3 linked regions of the Saccharomyces cerevisiae S288C genome follow. Changing the gene in region 3 together with the main gene of any one other region gives a genetic interaction. Each region holds a gene or a part of one and is shown on either strand. Other genes may lie near its edges.

Region 1 (6,777 bases), on a different chromosome or scaffold from region 3:
CGTAAAGGAAGGCATCAACGTTCATAAACTATCCAAAATTGTTAAGGTGGAGAAAAATGTAGAAACTGACAAACTGAAAATACATATGAATGACTCAAAGTCCATCGATGACGTTGACGAATTAATTTGGACAATTGGACGTAAATCCCATCTAGGTATGGGTTCAGAAAATGTAGGTATAAAGCTGAACTCTCATGACCAAATAATTGCTGATGAATATCAGAACACCAATGTTCCAAACATTTATTCTCTAGGTGACGTTGTTGGAAAAGTTGAATTGACACCTGTCGCTATTGCAGCGGGCAGAAAGCTGTCTAATAGACTGTTTGGTCCAGAGAAATTCCGTAATGACAAACTAGATTACGAGAACGTCCCCAGCGTAATTTTCTCACATCCTGAAGCCGGTTCCATTGGTATTTCTGAGAAGGAAGCCATTGAAAAGTACGGTAAGGAGAATATAAAGGTCTACAATTCCAAATTTACCGCCATGTACTATGCTATGTTGAGTGAGAAATCACCCACAAGATATAAAATTGTTTGTGCGGGACCAAATGAAAAGGTTGTCGGTCTGCACATTGTTGGTGATTCCTCTGCAGAAATCTTGCAAGGGTTCGGTGTTGCTATAAAGATGGGTGCCACTAAGGCTGATTTCGATAATTGTGTTGCTATTCATCCGACTAGCGCAGAAGAATTGGTTACTATGAGATGAAGCAACGAAACTAGACGTCCAATCTGCTGTTGCTATACTGGACTTTTGTACTCTTGTAAACAATCTTATATAGCATCCTGAAATACGTAGTAATTTTGTCATTTCTGTTCAAGGACAAGGGTTCCTTTTTTTTTCAGACTATTAGCTACTGTGGACTCGCTTGGATATTCAGTTGAGGATACATTCCGACTCTCGTTTACAATACATATGATTATTTTTCTTTTTGTTAATTATATAAAAAATAAAGTTATTTGATTTTAAGCTTAAAAATACACAAAATACAGAATAAGAAAGGAGTTTTTGAACAAAAGAATTTATCTTTTACTGCTTTCTAACTTTAAGCCTTCAAAGAAGAAGCTCTTCTCTTTCTGATTTCAGCCTTCTCAGCCTTTCTTTCAGACAATCTCTTAGCCAACAATTGAGCGTATTCGGCAGCAGCTTCTCTTTGAGCTTGAGCGTTTCTGACCTTCAAAGCTCTTTGGTGTCTCTTTCTTTGCAATCTTTGAGGAGTAACCAATCTTTGGATCTTTGGAGCCTTGGTGTAAGTCTTTTCACCCTTGGTGACTTCTCTTCTGATGACGAAATCACGAACGTCATCTTCCTTGGACAAACCGAAGAACTTTCTGATGTTGTTAGCTCTCTTTGGACCCAATCTCTTTGGAACAGTAGTGTCAGTTAGACCTTCCAATTCTTGCTCACCCTTCTTGACAATGACCAAAGCCAAGACAGCCAAATCTGGACCAACAATGGCACCTCTGACGGACTTTCTCTTTCTTTCACCATCACGTCTTGGTCTGTAACAAGAAACGTTCTTGGTCAACAACAACTTGATTCTAGTTGGCAACAAAACACCTTGCTTCATTGGGAAACCTTGTTTGTCGTTACCACCAGAGATCTTGAAGACGTAACCCTTGAATTCGTCACCAACGGCTTCACCATCGACTTCTTGACCGATTCTCTTGTCGAAGAAAACACGAATACGGTGTTCATCATCAATTTCGAAGGTCTTTTGAGACCCGTTAACTGGGTAAGAAATGTTCAACTATTTTAAATTTTCAACAGGTTATTAAGAAAATTTGTTAGTATACTATTGCAAAATTAATGTTTGAATAGGGTGAAGTTTATTACTCTAGAGAAATTATTAAGTGGAAGATGAAAAAGCTTGTCTTTTATTGACTATACTCCAAGTATATGAACTGCTTCAATTTCACGGTTTGTAGTAACAGTATATGTAAACCCGCTCTGTTTGTTTAAAAATAACGCCACAAACGCATCAATTAGTATATGGTAGTCTTCCTGCTTCTTTCCATAAAAAATTTCTAAAATCTTTACGACGTCTGGTTCTGTTTAGTTCTTTCTCACTTTCAAACTTTCATGCCATTTTTCCACATATAAAGTTCTCTGTTGCCCCTCAATAATAGTATCATAAATCATACCTTCATGATGTATAGTCTGTCTTCACTCTTTTGTCACTTCTCTTAAGCAAATATAAAAATTCAATGACGAATAAGCATTAACCACTTTATCCTTGGTAACACTGTATATGAAATTTCAAAGAAACTGCAGCATCATGATGTTCCTAGACGTCGGTACTGGAATTCCCACCCAGTAGACTTACCTAGGTAGCGGCATTCCTCCAACGCTTACCAGGAGAGATAACTTTCCCGCTAGAATCGATAGAGGAGCGTGGAATTACGCCAATCTTCCAAGTGGGAACGGGCAGAGTGTCCAGTGGCTTCCTGCCTACAGAATGCACGGCCCCAGTGGGATTGGTGCAATCGCGCACGTTCCAACTTTCCGATGCTCCGGCGCGTCGATGACAATTTTACACATGAAAAACGAACTATGTAAAAATAGTTGAAATGTATGGGTTCAATGAGAACTCGAATGTACGGATGTTTTCTCTGAATGAACCTCTTGTCTTCTTCCGGCTTCTGCTTACATCAAACTCCAGGCCAGGCGGCAATTCATTTTAGTTGCTAATGCACAAAAGAGTACTTAAATACTATCATTATTCAGAAAATGCAATTGAGTTTTTCGTTTTTCTTCCTTGTTTGGGTTATTCACTACGTAAATATGTGCATTTACAATAATATAAATATAAATTTTTTAAATGAAAAGAAGTTTCTTATGCTTGGAATATTCATACTGGTCAAATTTTTTGGTTTATATTTTGCTTGAATTTTTTTCTCCTGAAATATCAGTCGAAAAATTAAAGAATTTAGTGCCTAGTGGTGTTTGAGCAGTATTTATGTATGGAGTCAGCCCGGTATTTCCATTATATGCGGTGGCAGCAGCATCATATGTACTTGAGTTGGACTGATTGTTCGAGTCACCATCGGTAGTATGTTCTGAAATAGCAGCTCCATTTACGGGTGCATCTTCATTATTACTATAGTAACTGTTATTGCTATTGTTACTGTTATTGTCGTTGCCGTTGTTGCTGTTGTTGTTGCTGCTGTTGTTGTTGTTATTGTTGTTGTTGTTGTTAGTGTTGTTAGTGCTGCTGATATTGCTGGAGTTGCCGTTGTTTACGGCCGTCTGTACGGGAGGGAAAGTACCAGGATTGTTTGTGTTTCCCGGCTTGGCACTGTTGGGTCCCATTGACCAGTCTGGAAACATCGATATAGAAGAAACATTTGGAGAATTACTCATCAAATCATGTACGAACTTCGATGGCAGTGAACCAGTTGGAGGGCCATTGCTGGTTTCAGGGCCGGAAAAAGTTGAAGGGGGGCGTCCGGTTAATGTTGTAGTTAATGGTACTGTTTGGCTCTGTTTTTTGAAAGACATTTGTTGGTATTGCTGGGTTTGTCTTTGAGCTAAAAAAGATGTATTTTGTTGGAAAGGTCCGCCAGGAATATTCGATGGTTGCAAGGGAGTGGCAATGTATGGCTGTGTTGCAGAAAAAAGAGGTGAAGACCCACTTCCGAAAGGATAAGGGTGATTGTTATTGTTACTGCCATTACCATTGTTAGAACCGTTAGGCGCATTTGCATTTGGCAATTTTATTACCATTCTGCCATTATTACCTTTTTGGAGAGTTAAGGGGCCTGAGGCAGATGCGGATAGTGGAGAAATTTTGCTAGACCTACTTGTTTTGTTTTCTTTCATTATCTGCGAAGAGCCCATACTATTGCCGTTGGCCGATGTGGAGGAGGCAGAGGAGGGTTCACTTGGAATAGCGGAATTACTGCTGAAATTGTTGTTCGGAATTCTCACACGAAGTACCGGTCTGGCGGACAATTTCCTTCTTGCTTTGACAGTCTGCTGAATAGAGTCTTCCAAAGAATTAGATGGTGACTGAGTGTAGTTGCTGTTGTCATTATTATTGCTGCCACTATTGTTAATTTTGTGCTCCTGTTTAGGGGTCCTTGAGGATGCATTTGTAAATGGCTTACTGAACTTGTTCGGTGAAATGGAAATGGGTGGAGGACGACCATTAAAGGAAGAGTTTTGAAAGCTTGGTAATTTTGGAAAATCCATCGTGGAAGGAGAAGATGAACTGGATGAAGGCTGGTTAAGATTGTACATGCTACTATGGTATGGTCTCGATATATTTTGCTGCTGTTGCTGTTGCGGAGTTCTACTTATTTGCAAAGGATCCGGTTTCAATCTTTTCAAATGTTGTAAAGGCGGCAGCGCGTTCTCAGGATGACGTTTATTTTGCTCACTACCATCCATCTTTGAAATGAGTGCGGTCGGGGATAACAACTTCATGTGTGCACTCGGTATATTTTTATCAGAGGCTTTTTTATTCGAATGCATATTTGAATTCCTCTCAAAATTGCCATGATCATCGTCGTCCTCATCATTGTTCTCATCATCATCATTTTCTGACTGGTTCATTCCTTTAACATTTGATTTCGAAGGCTTATTTGACATAGACGACCTGAGTAGGTCTTGATTTATGTTAACGGATGCACTTTTGTGAAAGTCTCCATAATCGGAAGGATCTTTCACTTCGTGAAGCAAGTTTTTGTCATTTTGGTAGTGATAGATTAAATCATTCGTATCCACAGAGGAAAACTCATAGAACGTGTTATTGGACCCCAGTATAATGACGGCTATGTCTACTTGACAAAGAACGGATAGTTCATGGGCCTTCTTAAAAAGGCCAGCTTTACGTTTTATAAACGTGACAGCCCTATTTCTGTCATCAGAAATTCTCTGGATTTCAATCTTCCGTCTACCCATGTTGTATCTATAGTATAGTTTTGCGACACTTTAATATTTAAGTTTTTTTCACGCTTCAGCCTGTTTGCTCCGGGGGATATTAACCTCACAACGTGATAGAAACCTTGAAAAAAAAAAAGAATAATTCTGCTTGCCAGCTTTCAATTACTTTAACGAGTCAAAAGTTGAGTTGGCTATCAGGAGTAGGCAGTTCTAATTGAATCAGTCGTTGAACACTTTAGAACAGGCTCGCTTCTTTCTTACGTTTCTTTTTGTCTGTCCTTTAATTATTATTGTTCAGAGGAAGATCGAGCTGTTTCTATTATTAGCTTTCATCTCTTCCGTTTTATTTTTATCAGAAATCTGAAGTAAATTTTTTTCTTTCTTTCTGCGGCTTGGCATTCATCACCCGGTGATGCTGCGCCGTTAAGAGAGCCCAATAATGATAAGACGATTTCTGCATTTAATATACGACTGAGACAGACTTCGTCACCGTGGAAGTATTTTTTGCGAACGTGGAAGTATTTCACCCACGTATGGCAGGCAAGAACGCATTTTCAATAACGTTATTTCCACGGAAAAATGTGATTAGTGTAGTAGGTTAGGAACGGGAGATAACTCGGCCGCTTGGTTTGAATTTGTTTCCCTTCGATTTTGTTTTCATTGCTTGAGTAAAAGAAGCTAAGCTAACATCTGCCTTATTCTTCTCAGCCTTTTCGTATATATATATATATATATATATATATTAGGACCCAGAGAACAAGGTATCATATATTAATTGTCTTGCCAACTATGTAATTTGGCTGTTACGGAAGACCCACATCAGGCGGCAGAAATGGTTTTAGTTAAGCAGGTAAGACTCGGTAACTCAGGTCTTAAGATATCACCGATAGTGATAGGATGTATGTCATACGGGTCCAAGAAATGGGCGGACTGGGTCATAGAGGACAAGACCCAAATTTTCAAGATTATGAAGCATTGTTACGATAAAGGTCTTCGTACTTTTGACACAGCAGATTTTTATTCTAATGGTTTGAGTGAAAGAATAATTAAGGAGTTTCTGGAGTACTACAGTATAAAGAGAGAAACGGTGGTGATTATGACCAAAATTTACTTCCCAGTTGATGAAACGCTTGATTTGCATCATAACTTCACTTTAAATGAATTTGAAGAATTGGACTTGTCCAACCAGCGGGGTTTATCCAGAAAGCATATAATTGCTGGTGTCGAGAACTCTGTGAAAAGACTGGGCACATATATAGACCTTTTACAAATTCACAGATTAGATCATGAAACGCCAATGAAAGAGATCATGAAGGCATTGAATGATGTTGTTGAAGCGGGCCACGTTAGATACATTGGGGCTTCGAGTATGTTGGCAACTGAATTTGCAGAACTGCAGTTCACAGCCGATAAATATGGCTGGTTTCAGTTCATTTCTTCGCAGTCTTACTACAATTTGCTCTATCGTGAAGATGAACGCGAATTGATTCCTTTTGCCAAAAGACACAATATTGGTTTACTTCCATGGTCTCCTAACGCACGAGGCATGTTGACTCGTCCTCTGAACCAAAGCACGGACAGGATTAAGAGTGATCCAACTTTCAAGTCGTTACATTTGGATAATCTCGAAGAAGAACAAAAGGAAATTATAAATCGTGTGGAAAAGGTGTCGAAGGACAAAAAAGTCTCGATGGCTATGCTCTCCATTGCATGGGTTTTGCATAAAGGATGTCACCCTATTGTGGGATTGAACACTACAGCAAGAGTAGACGAAGCGATTGCCGCACTACAAGTAACTCTAACAGAAGAAGAGATAAAGTACCTCGAGGAGCCCTACAAACCCCAGAGGCAAAGATGTTAAGTTAGATTTTCATGGGCCCACTGATATA
Region 2 (7,174 bases), on a different chromosome or scaffold from region 3:
AAAGATGATAGTTCGGAGAGGGGTGATACTTATCGGTGACCAGAAGAACTGTAGTACTTGTTCCTAGGGAAACGAGAACGTCATTCTTCCGCAGGGGTAAAGAACATATAGTGGCTAAATTATCCCCAGTCATGGGAGAGACCTTGCAGTTTGTATTGAAACCGTACTTCTCAATAAAATATTTACAGATGGTACCCGCTATCAAATTTTTCATGGGTGCTCTCATTAATTTTTGTCTGATAGTTTTATCCTTAGAAGAACTATCAATTAGATGTAGTAGCTCATCACTGAATTTTCTTTCACGTATATCATAAAGGTTCATACCACAGGCATCTGCCTCCTCTAATTCAACAAGATGGCCCACTAAGATAGAAGTCAAAAAATTAGACACTAAAGAAATGGTCTTTGTTTTTTCGTAAGCTTCTGGTTCTAATTGTGCAATTTTCAGAATTTGAGGACCAGTAAATCTAAAATGGGCTCTGGACCCTGTTAATTGAGCCATTTTTTCAGGCCCACCTATGCACTCTTCAAACTCTTGACATTGCTTTGCAGTACTGTGGTCTTGCCAATTGGGGGCGGTTTGCCTTGCAAATGCTACAGAGCTCACGTAGTGCAATAAATCTTTTTCCGGTTTCTTATTCAATTGCTCTAACAGAGATTCGGCTTGGGAGGACCAGTAGACAGACCCGTGCTGCTGGCAGGACCCTGAGACGGCCATAACTTTGTTCAATGGAAATTTAGCCTCGCGATATTTCGAGAGAACCAGATCTAGAGCCTCTAACCACATGGCTACGGGACATTCGATAGTGTCGCCGTGTATATAGACACCCTTCTTTGTGTGATAATGCGGAAGATCCTTTTCAAATTCCACTGTTTCTGAATGGACAATTTTTAGGTCCTGGTTAATGGCGAGACATTTCAGTTGTTGGGTCGAAAGATCAAACCCAAGATAGTATGAGTCTAAAGACATTGTGTTGGAAACCTCTCTTGTCTGTCTCTGAATTACTGAACACAACATTAAAGTACTAATCTCATCCTCCTTTTGTTTTTCTCGAGAGGGCCCCCTTATTCGTCCGCCTGAGATTGCATTGGCCGAATTGAAAAGTGACAGTTATGCACCTCAGCGGCTATTCCCTGCGTCGCTTGCTGAAGATTGAGGATTATAGGAAGTAGTAAGCTGGAAATGGTAATTTGTAAAAAGAAAATTTCTAATACTGTGACAATGTTATTAAATCGGGGTTGTTTTTGTTTGGGGCGGCCAGCGGAATAATTTGTTTTCAAGGACAGCAGAAGCTCAGAAGAACAAAATCTCCGTGATCTTTTAAACTTTTTTCCATTCTGATGGAATAATGGTCTTGATCCCCTAAATATTTCCTTTTTTATTGCAATTATGATAGAAATTAATAGTAGTCTATGCTGGATGATATATATATCTCTTTTGAGCTTGCTTCAAATTTTTTCCCGTTATAATGATGAGTGTTTTGCTTATTAAGGGTCTAGGACATTTCTATCAGTTTCTATACCAAAAGAAGAAAAAGTGGAGAATTGTTTGTTTATTTTAATATTTTGTTCTTTAGTTTTAAAAATTCAGAAGAGAAAAAAATTTTATTTGTCACAAGGAAATAAAACATAAACAAAAAAGAAAAATTAAGATTTGCAATTCTGCCGCTTAAGCAAAAGTAGATCATTCACTGGAATATATATATATAAACGCATTTATAATCTTGTAACGTGCACTCAATTTAGCTACGAAAGCCAACCAGCAAGGAACCTTTTATTTGAGTAGGTACATTTACATCTTCGGGTAACGCGGTGAAATTGAAAAATTTTAAGGCATTAATAATTGAAAAGCTAGAAGAAATGGATGAATGAATGACATTGCGAACCATTGTGCAATGAACATCATCCAAAAGAAAACATCATTTACACATATTTTCTTTCCAGGGTCCCACTGGTAAAATCTATTAACATATAAAAAGATTTACAAAAAAACTTTAGTGCCATAACTACAGCAGGATCATCATATGTCAAGACTAGAAATATACTCGCCAGAAGGGCTACGTCTCGATGGACGTCGATGGAATGAACTCCGCCGTTTTGAAAGTTCCATCAACACACATCCGCACGCTGCAGACGGTTCATCCTACATGGAACAAGGTAACAACAAAATTATCACTCTTGTTAAAGGTCCAAAAGAGCCAAGATTGAAATCTCAAATGGATACCTCAAAGGCTTTATTGAACGTATCGGTAAACATTACAAAATTCTCCAAATTCGAAAGAAGTAAATCAAGCCACAAGAATGAAAGGCGTGTTCTTGAGATACAAACCTCCCTGGTGAGGATGTTTGAGAAGAATGTCATGCTGAATATCTACCCCAGAACAGTTATCGATATCGAGATCCATGTCCTTGAGCAAGATGGCGGTATTATGGGATCTTTAATCAACGGTATTACCCTCGCTTTAATAGATGCCGGTATATCAATGTTCGATTACATAAGTGGTATATCCGTCGGGCTGTACGATACTACCCCATTATTAGATACCAATTCATTAGAAGAAAATGCTATGAGTACAGTGACACTAGGTGTGGTAGGGAAGTCAGAAAAACTTTCTCTTTTATTGGTGGAAGACAAAATTCCGTTAGATAGGTTAGAGAACGTTCTTGCCATCGGCATCGCAGGTGCTCATAGGGTAAGAGATTTGATGGATGAAGAACTGAGGAAACATGCTCAGAAAAGAGTCAGTAACGCCTCTGCTAGGTAGAATAAAAAACGCCATTAATTGCCACTGTTTATATAAAAGTACATAAAAAACAGTAAAATTGAAAATTGAACGCATTTACATTTTCGTGTTTCTACCGTAAAGCAAAACGCTTACAGTTTTTTCTTACCTATTGATGCGAATAAATCCTTTGGTTTCATAGAATGCTGGAAAACTTTTCTCCTTAAGTGCGTTACATTTTGGTTGACACTAGCAACCGTGTTAATGACAGTATGCTTCTTACTCAAATCGTCCGCGTTCGCATATGCTTCCCTAACGTGACTATGCTGCTTATACTCCTCAGCTATGAAATCCTTATCCTTATTAGAGGATGATTTTAGCGTATAATTTATCCATGTTTGTATCCCCGTATCATATTCATCTAGCTCACGCTTATAATTTCTCAACTGTTCTATCTTACCGGCGTGCGAAGTCTTACTGTTCAGTAGTTTATTCATATCTAATTTCGGTAAGTTATTCTGCTGCCCCAATTTCGCCATTTCTTCAGTACTGGGTTCATGGACGCTTGTCATTTCGCCTTGAGATACTGTTCTGTTTTCACTTTTGAAAGATGCACTGCGCGCTGCCAAATCATTGGCAGTATTGTTACTATTATCATTATCTGTTGTACTATTATCGTTTCCTGCATTTAATTGTTCCTGTGCGTCCATCGGTAGAGGTGGCAAATTCGATTGGTTACCAATCAAACCGGGAACATTATAAATCGTATTGTTGTCGTATATAGTCTTAGTGTCCCTGATTGTCTCCAAATCGTCATCTTCGCCTTTGGAAGGGAATGCATCCCAAGTACTCTCCATCTCTGAATAAGTCGATACAACACGTGGTTTCATACTAGCAGGTGTTAAATCTACTAGCTTCCCGTTAGAATCGATCACGTAACCTGGTGGCGCTTTCTTATTGGCTGTATCCTGTACGAACCCTGATCGTAAGGCCTCACTGTCCGGCTTCCAAGAATCAACATCAGTGGAGTCTTTAACTGAACTTTCTTCCAAAACTTTGTCTTCATTTATGTGGTCTTCCTCATCGCTGCCATCGCTGTTTTCCAATTCAGAACCGCTATTTGACAAATTGGTATTTTCAATGGTGTCTATTTGATTAGGTTGCAATGCTGAATCACCTTTATCATCATTACCAATCATTTTGGAGAAATAACCTGATTTGGGCGCCTTGAGACTGCCTTCATCTGAATCAGAGCTCATACCTTTTTCCTCCTCCTCTTCATCACTCGTAAGTAGAATGGAACCTTTTTCCCTATTAGAAAATTTATAGCTATCTGTATCTTCATTTTCGTCTTCTATGGATTCATTATCTTCGTTTTTGTCTTCTATGGATTCATTATCTTCATTATCTTCTTCTTCTGTCTCATTTGTCGAATATTTTATTGATTCGGTATACGACAATGCATCATCGTCAGTTGTATCAAGTTGTTTCGATTGCCGGTTAATATCAGCATGTTTATCACTAACCGAAGATCGATTATCATCATCACTACTACCACTGTTGCCTTCGTTGTTATCATCTTCTTCAGAGTCTGACGAATGCTGATAATCATTGAAAAAAGAATTTCGATATCCATTATCACTAGTTTTTGTTTCATTTGCTACGGGTTTCGGCTTTGCTACTTTATCTTGCCCACTAGATGTAGAGTTCCTATTCCTAATACTAGTCTTTTCTTCACTTTTTTCTTTCTTTTCCAAAGCTCCTGAGCTCTCGACTTCACCATCATCTTCTTGTTGTAAATTCTCCTCTTTCTCCGCAGGCAGAATATCTGCAAGGTAGCCTCTTTCGGAAACTTTAAACTCGTCGTCTTTCTGCTCAGAAACATCGCCATCACTACTCAAATGTTCATTTCCATTCCTTGTTGGCGTATTGAAAGTGGTATCAGCTTCATTAGTATCCATTGAAACCCCTAAGGAATGTGATTTTTCATCTTCTTCTACAGGAGATGATGAAGAGGGTACCGCTTCCCCTAATGGTGCTTCGTTTTGGATTTCGTCACAACTGTCTGAATCACGCCGAAAATCAGATGTTTGCCTAATTTCTGGTGTCATCTCCCTTGATATTTGCTCTATCAAATTGTCTAGGTCTTCGTTTACAGCCCTATTTGTATGTGGTGATTTTTTGTTTTCACTTGGACTTTTCAAAGATGCTGTCGACGAAAGATAATCTGATTTGGAGTGCTCGCTGGATTTTTTCGCTTGTAATTCCACAGACTCTCTTGAAGCCATAAGTTTAGGCACCCCATCTGAGAGATAGCCTACTTCCTTGTCACTAGGACTAATATCACTCTTACTGACGTTATTATCATTGCTGTCTTTATTTTCACCCGTATTTTCATCATGCTCACCATTAACATCTGTATAATTGAGCTTGGGTAAACTAGGCAAATTAGATATTTTTTGCTTGTGAATTTCTGAACCTTTTGTGCCATCCTCGGAAGAGTAGTCATATTCGTCACTACTGTCCCATCCAGCGCCGTCATAACTTGCTTGAGATGCGCTAACCCATCTATACGATTTCTTTCTACCGACCTGTTCAGTGCTCATAATAAATATCCGCTTTCCAGAAAAAGGGTAATGATCAAACAGTCCCTTTTAACTATAATGCAAGTTTTGTGTTTACCTTGTTAACCATGTATGAAAGTGGTATTTAGGAATACTTTTAAGTGCCTTACAGAATTCTTGGCATGAGAAAAACAAAATAGCTACCCGGAATGAAACACTAATGTGTCACCAAACAAACAAACGACGTTATATAATTGTTGTGATATTTGCATCTTCATCTTATGATGATGAGAATATAAATAATTTTTAATCGTATTAAGTGTATATATGAATAAGCTATTAACCCTACCCATTAATTTCCGGGCGGGTTGTTATTTTTATCAGTATTGGCCTCTGCCGGGCGGCTAGCACGCTGGGTAGCTGCTGCGACAGCGGCTTCTGCTGCTTGCATAGCATTTTTTTGCATTTTTTTACCTGCAAACTTCATACAAAATGGCATCAAGGATGTATTGAGGGCAACCCATGCCACGAGAATACCGTAATTTCTTCCCATTTTTCTTTTGGTTAAATTCAAAAAAATCACTTTATAGATATCCACGGCATTATGGATTGGCATTATGTAGCCGTACCTGTAAAATTCGTTGTTCAAAACCATTGGGTAGAATGAAGCAGAAATATTTAATATGATCCACGTCATCAACCAAATACTCAGGTATGGAGGGCAGTAAGCTATAACTAAGCTGAGAACGTTTTCATTGGCACCACCAACAGCCATCATTACCAACCACGTAGACATCCAATATACTACGAATCCTCCTCTGCCAAAGGCGGGGGTGAAATCGATCCTAAAAATTGCAGATACGGTACAGAATCCAATGGAAAGAAGAAAATAAGTTGCCCAGGAAATTAGAAGCCTGTAGATTAAAATATGCTTTGGCTTCAGAACTCTGGCCATTTCTCCGTGCAACTTACCATATAATGACAGTTGTAAAACGGTTAACAAAATACAATAAATCAGACCGACCTGCAGAGGGGCCATTAGAATACGATCAGCAAAGGGACGATAATCGTTGTAGGTGAACAACAACTGTCCTGCAATCGCCCAGTTCTCCATGTTTATATTAAGATCTCTGTCATTAGAAGTGATGTTGCTCATCAATGAGGGAAGATATTCCTTGACGTAATATTTCTGAAGGCGGACCTCCAATTGTTGCATGAGTGGTAGAATGGTCGATTTAACACTCGATGGGTCACGACCACTTTCAAACACGGATTCAAAAAAAATTGATGAATTGAACTCCGAGTTTGCGTCTTGGCTAATCAAAGAATTATACAAAGTGTCTGTAGCATTAGGTTTAACGTTTAACGCCAGCCAGTATCTCTCATCGTAAATTAAATCGACTATCTTTCTGTCAATTTCGGTGGAGTTCGTCGTACCAAATTTCCTATGAAATGATGTTGCGTTGTATATATGCCATGTCCCGGGGACAGACGCTAACAATGAGGGTATGATCGCGGAAATAGATTGAACTGAAGTATTAGATGGCGCATCCTGCAATACAACAATATTTTTCACTTTGAAAAAGTAACGATCTGTTCCGTAACAGGCACCCCAGTAAATCGATATGAGCGATACACACACACAAGCAATGAAGAAGTTGTTCAAAACAAACTTCGAGAGAATCTTTTTCCTATGATTTCGCAGTCTTGGAGAAAAAAGCCCTGTTTGAATTCTTGCCAAGGGACCGCCGTCGTTACCGCCCTTCTCTTCCTCATTAGCGCCACCTTCCCCCACAGATGACAATGAGGACGGCTTTTCATCAGGAGGCCGATAGTCTTCTAATGACTTTGCTAAGTCAGAAGAATGGCCGGAACCCTCAGCAAATC
Region 3 (7,418 bases):
CAAGTGAGCTCTGATATCAGAGACGTAGACACCCAATTCAACCAAGTTGACTCTTTCGTCAGATTGAGCTATAGTGGTGGTTGCGGAAGCAGTAGCAGCGATGGCAGCGACACCAGCGGCGATTGAAGTTAATTTGACCATTGTATTTGTTTTGTTTGTTAGTGCTGATATAAGCTTAACAGGAAAGAAAGGAATAAAGACATATTCTCAAAGGCATACAGTTGAAGCAGCTCTATTTATACCCATGCCTTCATCAGTCATCACTATTTAAACGATTCGTTAACAGACGCTCATTTAGCACCTCACATATCCTCCATATCTCATCTTTCACACAATCTCATTATCAGTATGGAAATGCTCTTGTTTCTGAACGAATCATACATCTTTCATAGACTTCGTATGTGGAGTATTGTTTTATGGCACTCATGTGTATTCGTATGCGCAGAATGTGGGAATGCCTATTATAGGGATGCCGGGGTACCTTGAAAAACCCTTTTGCGCGCCTGTGATTTCCGTTTTCGGTCAAAAAGAATATCTGAATTTTAGATTTGGACCCTCGTACAGAAGTCTATTGTCTAAGCCTAATTTCAGTGCTTTAAACGGCTTCCGCGGAAGAAGCATTTCTATCTCTTGAATTCGTACAACATTAAACGTGTGTTGGGAGTCGTATACTGTTAGGGTCTGCAATTTGTGAACTCTCGGCGAATGCCTTGGTGCAATTACGTAATTGTAGCCGCTGAAGGCGGATGGTATTGAGAGAAGTTGATGTTCAAAGTATCGTGTATGATAAAAATAAAATTGTAACCAGTTCGTAGTAGCAGTATTAAAACTTTGCACAGAGGGAAATATTTGATTCCGAGATGTAATCCCTCTTTTCTAGCCAGATATGAAGGAGAAAAGTGTAAGGGTAGTAGAGAGCGCTACTTTATTTTATTTTATTTTAAAAATGTTCTCTAGGAAAGGTGTATTAATAGTTGATAAAAAAAGTATTTTGTCTTCTATGTTCATAATTTCAATTCTTGAATTTTGGAAATCGTGAAATGCTTCGAGAAACCGCCTTCAATAATTAGAAAACAAAATAAAAGATTACAATTAGGCCACTCAAAAATACAATTCAGATAAGAAAGGAGCGATAGTGGGGAGTAAGAATTGGAAATACCCTTGATAATCAGGGAAAACTTAAGGAACGGGGTGTTAAAAGTCTGTGAAGTATAGATCAAACTCGCACTAGCTAGCAATACTCATGAGAACCCATGTGAGTCTAAAGCTGTGAAACTTCTTTAGAAAGCAGAGCATCCTCTAAGTTAACAGTTTTCCATACTTATTCAGTATGGATCAAGTTCCACAGTTTGTCAACTTCTGTAAAATAAACTTGTAGTGCTTCTTCGATGAAAAGGGATAGAATCTTTAAAAGACTTGATCTTGGCATTTTTATCCTCCTTCAAGCAGAATGGCTCCAGTAGAGTTGTTCTGAACGCTTCTGGGCAGTGAGCAGCATTGAAGAAAAAGTACTCAGCATTCCAAGCTTTGTTTTCATATAATTATAAATTAAAACTCATAGCCACCAATTTCCAGGTTTTGGTCGCAATATGCTGCAGAGTCAATGGCTTGTTTCATTACTATACTAGTCCGACGGAGTTTACTTTACTCTAAATTTTCTGAAATAGAAAGGCCACACGCCATACAATTAACAATAGTTCATTTAGTTGAAAGGTTTCCGAGATAGAAAGTGCGGTAGTGGAGAAGAACAATAAACGTATCAAACTTTGCGCAGTCATGGAATTTCCAGGAAACATTTTTAGGTTTTCATATGACAGCAGTTCCTGTCCGAGAGCTGTGCCTTTCTTGTCTCAGCTGACTAAGATGTCTCGGATCCGCCCGGCTGACGCGCGGCTCCGTCTAGTGGGATAGGCTTTCAACACATAGAAAACCCTTCAGATGATGAGAACACATCGAATCCCAGAGAGTAATATCACTAAGAATAAAGCAACCATGATAGACGATATTACTAAGTGTTCCTCAACAGATATTGAGAAAAGTTCTTATAAAGCGGGCAGGCTTTTTTCTATTTTTTTCTTTTTCTTTATCTAGCTTAAGATCTTTCTAACCATATTCTATAAAATGGCAAGCTGAATACAGATTATCAACGACAATTACAGATAACCTACAAACATGCAAGTTGCAATTCCAGAAACCATGAAGGCTGTCGTCATTGAAGACGGTAAAGCGGTTGTTAAAGAGGGCATTCCCATTCCTGAATTGGAAGAAGGATTCGTATTGATTAAGACACTCGCTGTTGCTGGTAACCCCACTGATTGGGCACACATTGACTACAAGATCGGGCCTCAAGGATCTATTCTGGGATGTGATGCTGCTGGCCAAATTGTCAAATTGGGCCCAGCTGTCAATCCTAAAGACTTTTCTATCGGTGATTATATTTATGGGTTCATTCACGGATCTTCCGTAAGGTTTCCTTCCAATGGTGCTTTTGCTGAATATTCTGCTATTTCAACTGTGGTTGCCTACAAATCACCCAATGAACTCAAATTTTTGGGTGAGGATGTTCTACCTGCCGGCCCTGTCAGGTCTTTGGAAGGTGTAGCCACTATCCCAGTGTCACTGACCACAGCCGGCTTGGTGTTGACCTATAACTTGGGCTTGGACCTGAAGTGGGAGCCATCAACCCCACAAAGAAAAGGCCCCATCTTATTATGGGGCGGTGCAACTGCAGTAGGTCAGTCGCTCATCCAATTAGCCAATAAATTGAATGGCTTCACCAAGATCATTGTTGTGGCTTCTCGGAAGCACGAAAAACTTTTGAAAGAATATGGTGCTGATGAATTATTTGATTATCATGATATTGACGTGGTAGAACAAATTAAACACAAGTACAACAATATCTCGTATTTAGTCGACTGTGTCGCGAATCAAGATACGCTTCAACAAGTGTACAAATGTGCGGCCGATAAACAGGATGCTACAATTGTTGAATTAAAAAATTTGACAGAAGAAAACGTCAAAAAAGAGAACAGGAGACAAAACGTTACTATTGACATAATAAGGCTATATTCAATAGGTGGCCATGAAGTACCATTTGGAAACATTACTTTACCAGCCGACTCAGAAGCTAGGAAAGCTGCAATAAAATTTATCAAATTCATCAATCCAAAGATTAATGATGGACAAATTCGCCATATTCCAGTAAGGGTCTATAAGAACGGGCTTTGTGATGTTCCTCATATCCTAAAAGACATCAAATATGGTAAGAACTCTGGTGAAAAACTCGTTGCCGTATTAAACTAGATGACGAACAGATATTATTTTCTTTCATATACATAGTTATTACGTTTAGTTATAGTGACTTAGTTTTTTTTTTTTTTTTAATGAAATTGTTTGTTATTGATCACCCCTTGTAGGGGCAACAGATGAGCACAGTGAAAATCATAACTCATTATGTGATTCGTTGTGAGTAACCCTTCCATGATTATATATCCTAACTATCTACTATCCAACTACTACATATCTATTGAACTCATATGTACCAAGCACATAAATTTATGCACCCATTTCCATTGGCAAAGACTTGGCGAAATTTAATACACTGTAATAATATCCGGCGAAGCTCTTTAAGTATTCTTACCTATAATGGCGGCTCGCTGTCCGAACGATTGCGCCGCACTTTTCTGCCTCTTACATTCCTTTTTCCTAAGGCGATAAGCAGGCTGAATGGAAACTACAATATATTGCAATAGAGCTTCCCCAAGGAACTCCCACTTTCCTTGGATTATTACAAAGAGAGTTTTACCTTTTAGGTCATTCTCACAGCAGATCCAAATATGTAGAACCTGTTTTAGAACAACAAATAGAAATGATGTGTTACAGAGTACCGTTTAAACTGAGTCATCACGTAATATTCTAATTATGTTTTTTTTTTTTAAATTAGCTAATGTAAACAGGCTGGAATGTATGGGAACTCATCACTTCGTAACTGATTCCATCTTCTATCTACCATAACTTTAAAAAAGATTATCGATAGTCTAAAAATACGCGATACACATTCTTTCTTCGTCCGTTAATGATAAAGCTCTTTTTATGTTAATGTACATGGGTTGTCAAACTACCCTTCCCAAAAAGACAGCACAAAATATATATTTATGCCGTGCTATTCTATGATAATATATTGGCTTTCACCTAATGGAAGCCCTAGCGAAGATAACCTTTTTCATACGACTTTTGGTGGGAAAGAAATTGGCATAGTCCCAAGTACAATGTTGTTATTATGTAGGAGCTTAATCCGCAGATCATACACTCTATCTCAATTCTTCGTATTATAACGCTCATGATTAATTAGGTCCTTCTGAGTTCTATCTTTTCTCTCCGAGACAATATTATGCAAATTTTAACCAAGCAGTTTCTCTTAAAAAATAGATAGCCTCTGGAATAACCAATATGGCTCTCATATTCGCTTTATCCACTCTTACGATGAACATCTGTATGGTTCTTTTTATTCTAGTTTATGTACGTTTATAGACGGGAAGTAGTTAAATTTGTGTTACCTTCAATTTGAAATTTGGGATACCGTTATCGTATTCAATTCTCAGCATCGCCCAGTTCAAGTCAACTAATATAGATGCTATAGCCAGAGCATAAACTAGGGAAATAGCATAGAAAAAATTACTATTCCCTGAACCTAAAACAACCCAAAGATGATAGAAAATTGGCGCCAAAACAATTGCGTGTAAAAACAGTAATGCTGATATGATGGGGTATCTTAAATATCCAAATAGTGGCGTGAAGAAAGGTAGGAAGCTGAAGAAAAAACCAGCGTCACCTAGTGAGGGATATGGCTTTGTAAGGACAATCCACCCAATGCATAAAATGAATGCGTAGAATGGCTGCTTATGATAGCGCAAAGTAAATGGTGTAATGAATACTGCAATAAAAATGTTGAATACAGCCTTGAAGAACGGTATGAAGGTGTCAAACATTTCAATGAAGAAGTACCACCACAAACCCAGATTTGGAAAAACCTTCTCAAAGGTTATAATAGATCCATAAACCTGTGTCAAAAATGACCAACTTTGGCTGCCTAATATACTGTAGCTGAATAATAGCAGAATTAATAAAGATAGTATGGAAACAATGGCAGATAATATTCTTTGCCTCCAACTTTTCAGCATACCTAATAGCGGAATTAAGAGGAGAATAGGGTATACTGACAAATATCCAGATATAGAAATCATAACAGAGGACAAAAGAACGTTTCCTTCAGCTAATATGCAATACAATGACGATGAAATAGCAAAATTTGTGAATATGATTGATGACCGACTAATGCACGATAAAAGGGTCAAAGGATTCACGGCATAAAGAAGTCCAGGTAGCCAAACTTTCAGTTTCAAGTTTTTGAAAGCCTTTGTTACCTCTGTCAGCTGATACGCAATTAATCCATCAATTAAAGCGTATATGAGGGAAATTAACCTGTCGGAATTAAAGAGGGAAAGAAAAAAAATCAAAATTGGAGGATGGTGAACAACCCCATGATTATATACTTGGATGTTGTTCCGCAGTAGGTATATACCTTCCTGTAGTGACCTAAATGAAGTTACGGGAGTTGAGAATTCTACAGACTGGTCCAGTTGTTGTTGTAGAGAGGGAAAAAGGCTGTTCACAGCCAAACGAATTGCAATACAGCCTAGAGCTACCTTAAGTGCTGTGGAATCCATTGGTCTCCTTTTGGTGAGTTTTTCATATAAGATCACGTTGTTTATATGAATTACTGTTCTAAAACTGGTTAGTTTTGAAAACAAAGGTCATTTCACTTAATGGAATATTTGTTTTACCCGGAATACGTAACATATCGTTTGCCAATAGACGTCTTTAAGAAGGATGTTTTAGCTTCCTTTGAGAATTATGCTACCAATAATGCAGATAGATATGTTGGAAATAACTGTTTTGACAAGAGCTTGAGATTTACTTGTTTAATGTATACTCATATAGAAACATCGAAAACAAATGAGGAAAGAAATTGAGAGCTGAGATCAATGTTAATTTTCATTCATTTGATGTTATACCTTTACACTTTAAAAATAACTCATCCGAAACAGCCAATGGTCTATCCTTGACCTTCGCCAACGCCTCTTATACTTTCATTAGAGGCCACTCTAGCACAATTCGTGACGCGTCATAGTATAGAAACGATGCGCGCATCAACAATTATGAAATTATTGCTGAACATGAACAAGTAGATACTCTGAAGAGAAAGGTACAATAATAGACATTGGTAATATGCTAAAATCCGTACAGGGACTGTGGAAAGATTTTTTTGGAATACGAGATGATGGCAGGAAACGAGAATACGGGTCCCTTGATGAAGTGAGAAAACGATCTGCCTTAAGGAGCAGAAGAAAGCAGATGCGTCCTACGGGTAAAAGCGTTCTAAAAAGACCTAGAAAGGTGACAGATAGGAAAACTGAAGAAAAAATTCGTACTAACAGGAGGAAAACACCCAAACGAAGGTTAACAAAGATATTCCAGACAATCAGAGATGTTTTTTCCAATGATAATGAAAATATGAGCAAGATGCAAAATGTTTGTGGCGACATGACTAGAATTTTGAAGAAGAGATCCCAGGGAAGACCTTCTTATATGGACACAGATACAGCCAAATCTAGGATCCTAAGGAGTGATGCCTTTAAGAGAAAGATATCGGAGTTGAAATACAATAAGCAACGGATCAGTGAACTAAGAAGTGGTAGTTCTGACGGGTCGAGTGGAAAAGATAGAAATCAATCATTATACTTAGATAGAGAAATTCTTCTACAGCGGCAAATTAAGAAAAGAGATGAGAAAATAAAAGCCTTGGAAAGCAAGCTACAATCATTACAAGAAGCATTGAATTACTCAAATGAGAAGTACAGGATTTTGGAGGATTTACTAGATTCTTCAAACATTCATCCATCATACACCAAATCTAGGAGAACCATGTCTAATCTAGCTAGAGAAAACGATGAGATTAAGCCCTTGAAAATTGATCTTTCCCCGTCTCCAATAAGAAGAACGAATTCATTATTCACTTCCAGCCCCATGAAAACATATAATCGGGATGGAAATATACCAGAGATGCAGCCGTTACAGGAAAACATATCTCCCGCCTGTCCCACTCCACCCTATCGTTCAAGGGAAACTGAAAAAGAGGATGAAACACTTTCACCAATCTCAGTGGACTTTTCAAGTTATTTATCTTAATTTCTCCTGTGAAATTAAAAGTATTCTCCATATATGGAGCGCGAAGATCACGGCCTAATCCTCATGATTCATTTTATAGATGCTTTATATAATAATTAGAGTACACATAGTTTTCATCATATTTCCGTTAAACTGGTTGTACTGTTTGGCCGTATGTAGAAGTATTATTT

Evidence for each region. Genes that interact genetically often act in the same process or in processes that back each other up.
Region 1: mutations in GAB1 (region 3) and RLM1 together harm fitness more than expected from each alone (negative genetic interaction), as found in Saccharomyces cerevisiae (3 studies listed by BioGRID).
Region 2: mutations in GAB1 (region 3) and FYV8 together harm fitness more than expected from each alone (negative genetic interaction), as found in Saccharomyces cerevisiae (3 studies listed by BioGRID).

Annotation. Positions count from the first base shown.
Region 1 is NC_001148.4:376,245-383,021, forward strand, and holds RLM1 (Rlm1p), read right to left. Parts: upstream 4,907-6,777; coding exon 2,876-4,906; downstream 1-2,875. Other genes in the region: glutathione-disulfide reductase GLR1, read left to right, coding at 1-709; 40S ribosomal protein eS6 RPS6A, read right to left, coding at 1,047-1,751, 2,146-2,151; YPL088W (aldo-keto reductase superfamily protein), read left to right, coding at 5,721-6,749. UniProt on the Saccharomyces cerevisiae protein: May function as a transcription factor downstream of MPK1 that is subject to activation by the MPK1 mitogen-activated protein kinase pathway. Binds to the DNA sequence 5'-CTA[TA](4)TAG-3'. At least some RML1 target genes are involved in cell wall biosynthesis.
Region 2 is NC_001139.9:886,858-894,031, forward strand, and holds FYV8 (Fyv8p), read right to left. Parts: upstream 5,330-7,174; coding exon 2,876-5,329; downstream 1-2,875. Other genes in the region: XKS1 (xylulokinase), read right to left, coding at 1-1,018; exosome non-catalytic core subunit SKI6, read left to right, coding at 2,025-2,765; SNG1 (Sng1p), read right to left, coding at 5,640-7,174.
Region 3 is NC_001144.5:1,055,642-1,063,059, reverse strand, and holds GAB1 (GPI-anchor transamidase subunit GAB1), read right to left. Parts: upstream 5,727-7,418; coding exon 4,542-5,726; downstream 1-4,541. Other genes in the region: seripauperin PAU4, read right to left, coding at 1-141; YLR460C (uncharacterized protein), read left to right, coding at 2,173-3,303; NBP1 (Nbp1p), read left to right, coding at 6,289-7,248; YLR456W (pyridoxal 5'-phosphate synthase), read right to left, coding at 7,376-7,418. UniProt on the Saccharomyces cerevisiae protein: Component of the GPI transamidase complex. May be involved in the recognition of either the GPI attachment signal or the lipid portion of GPI.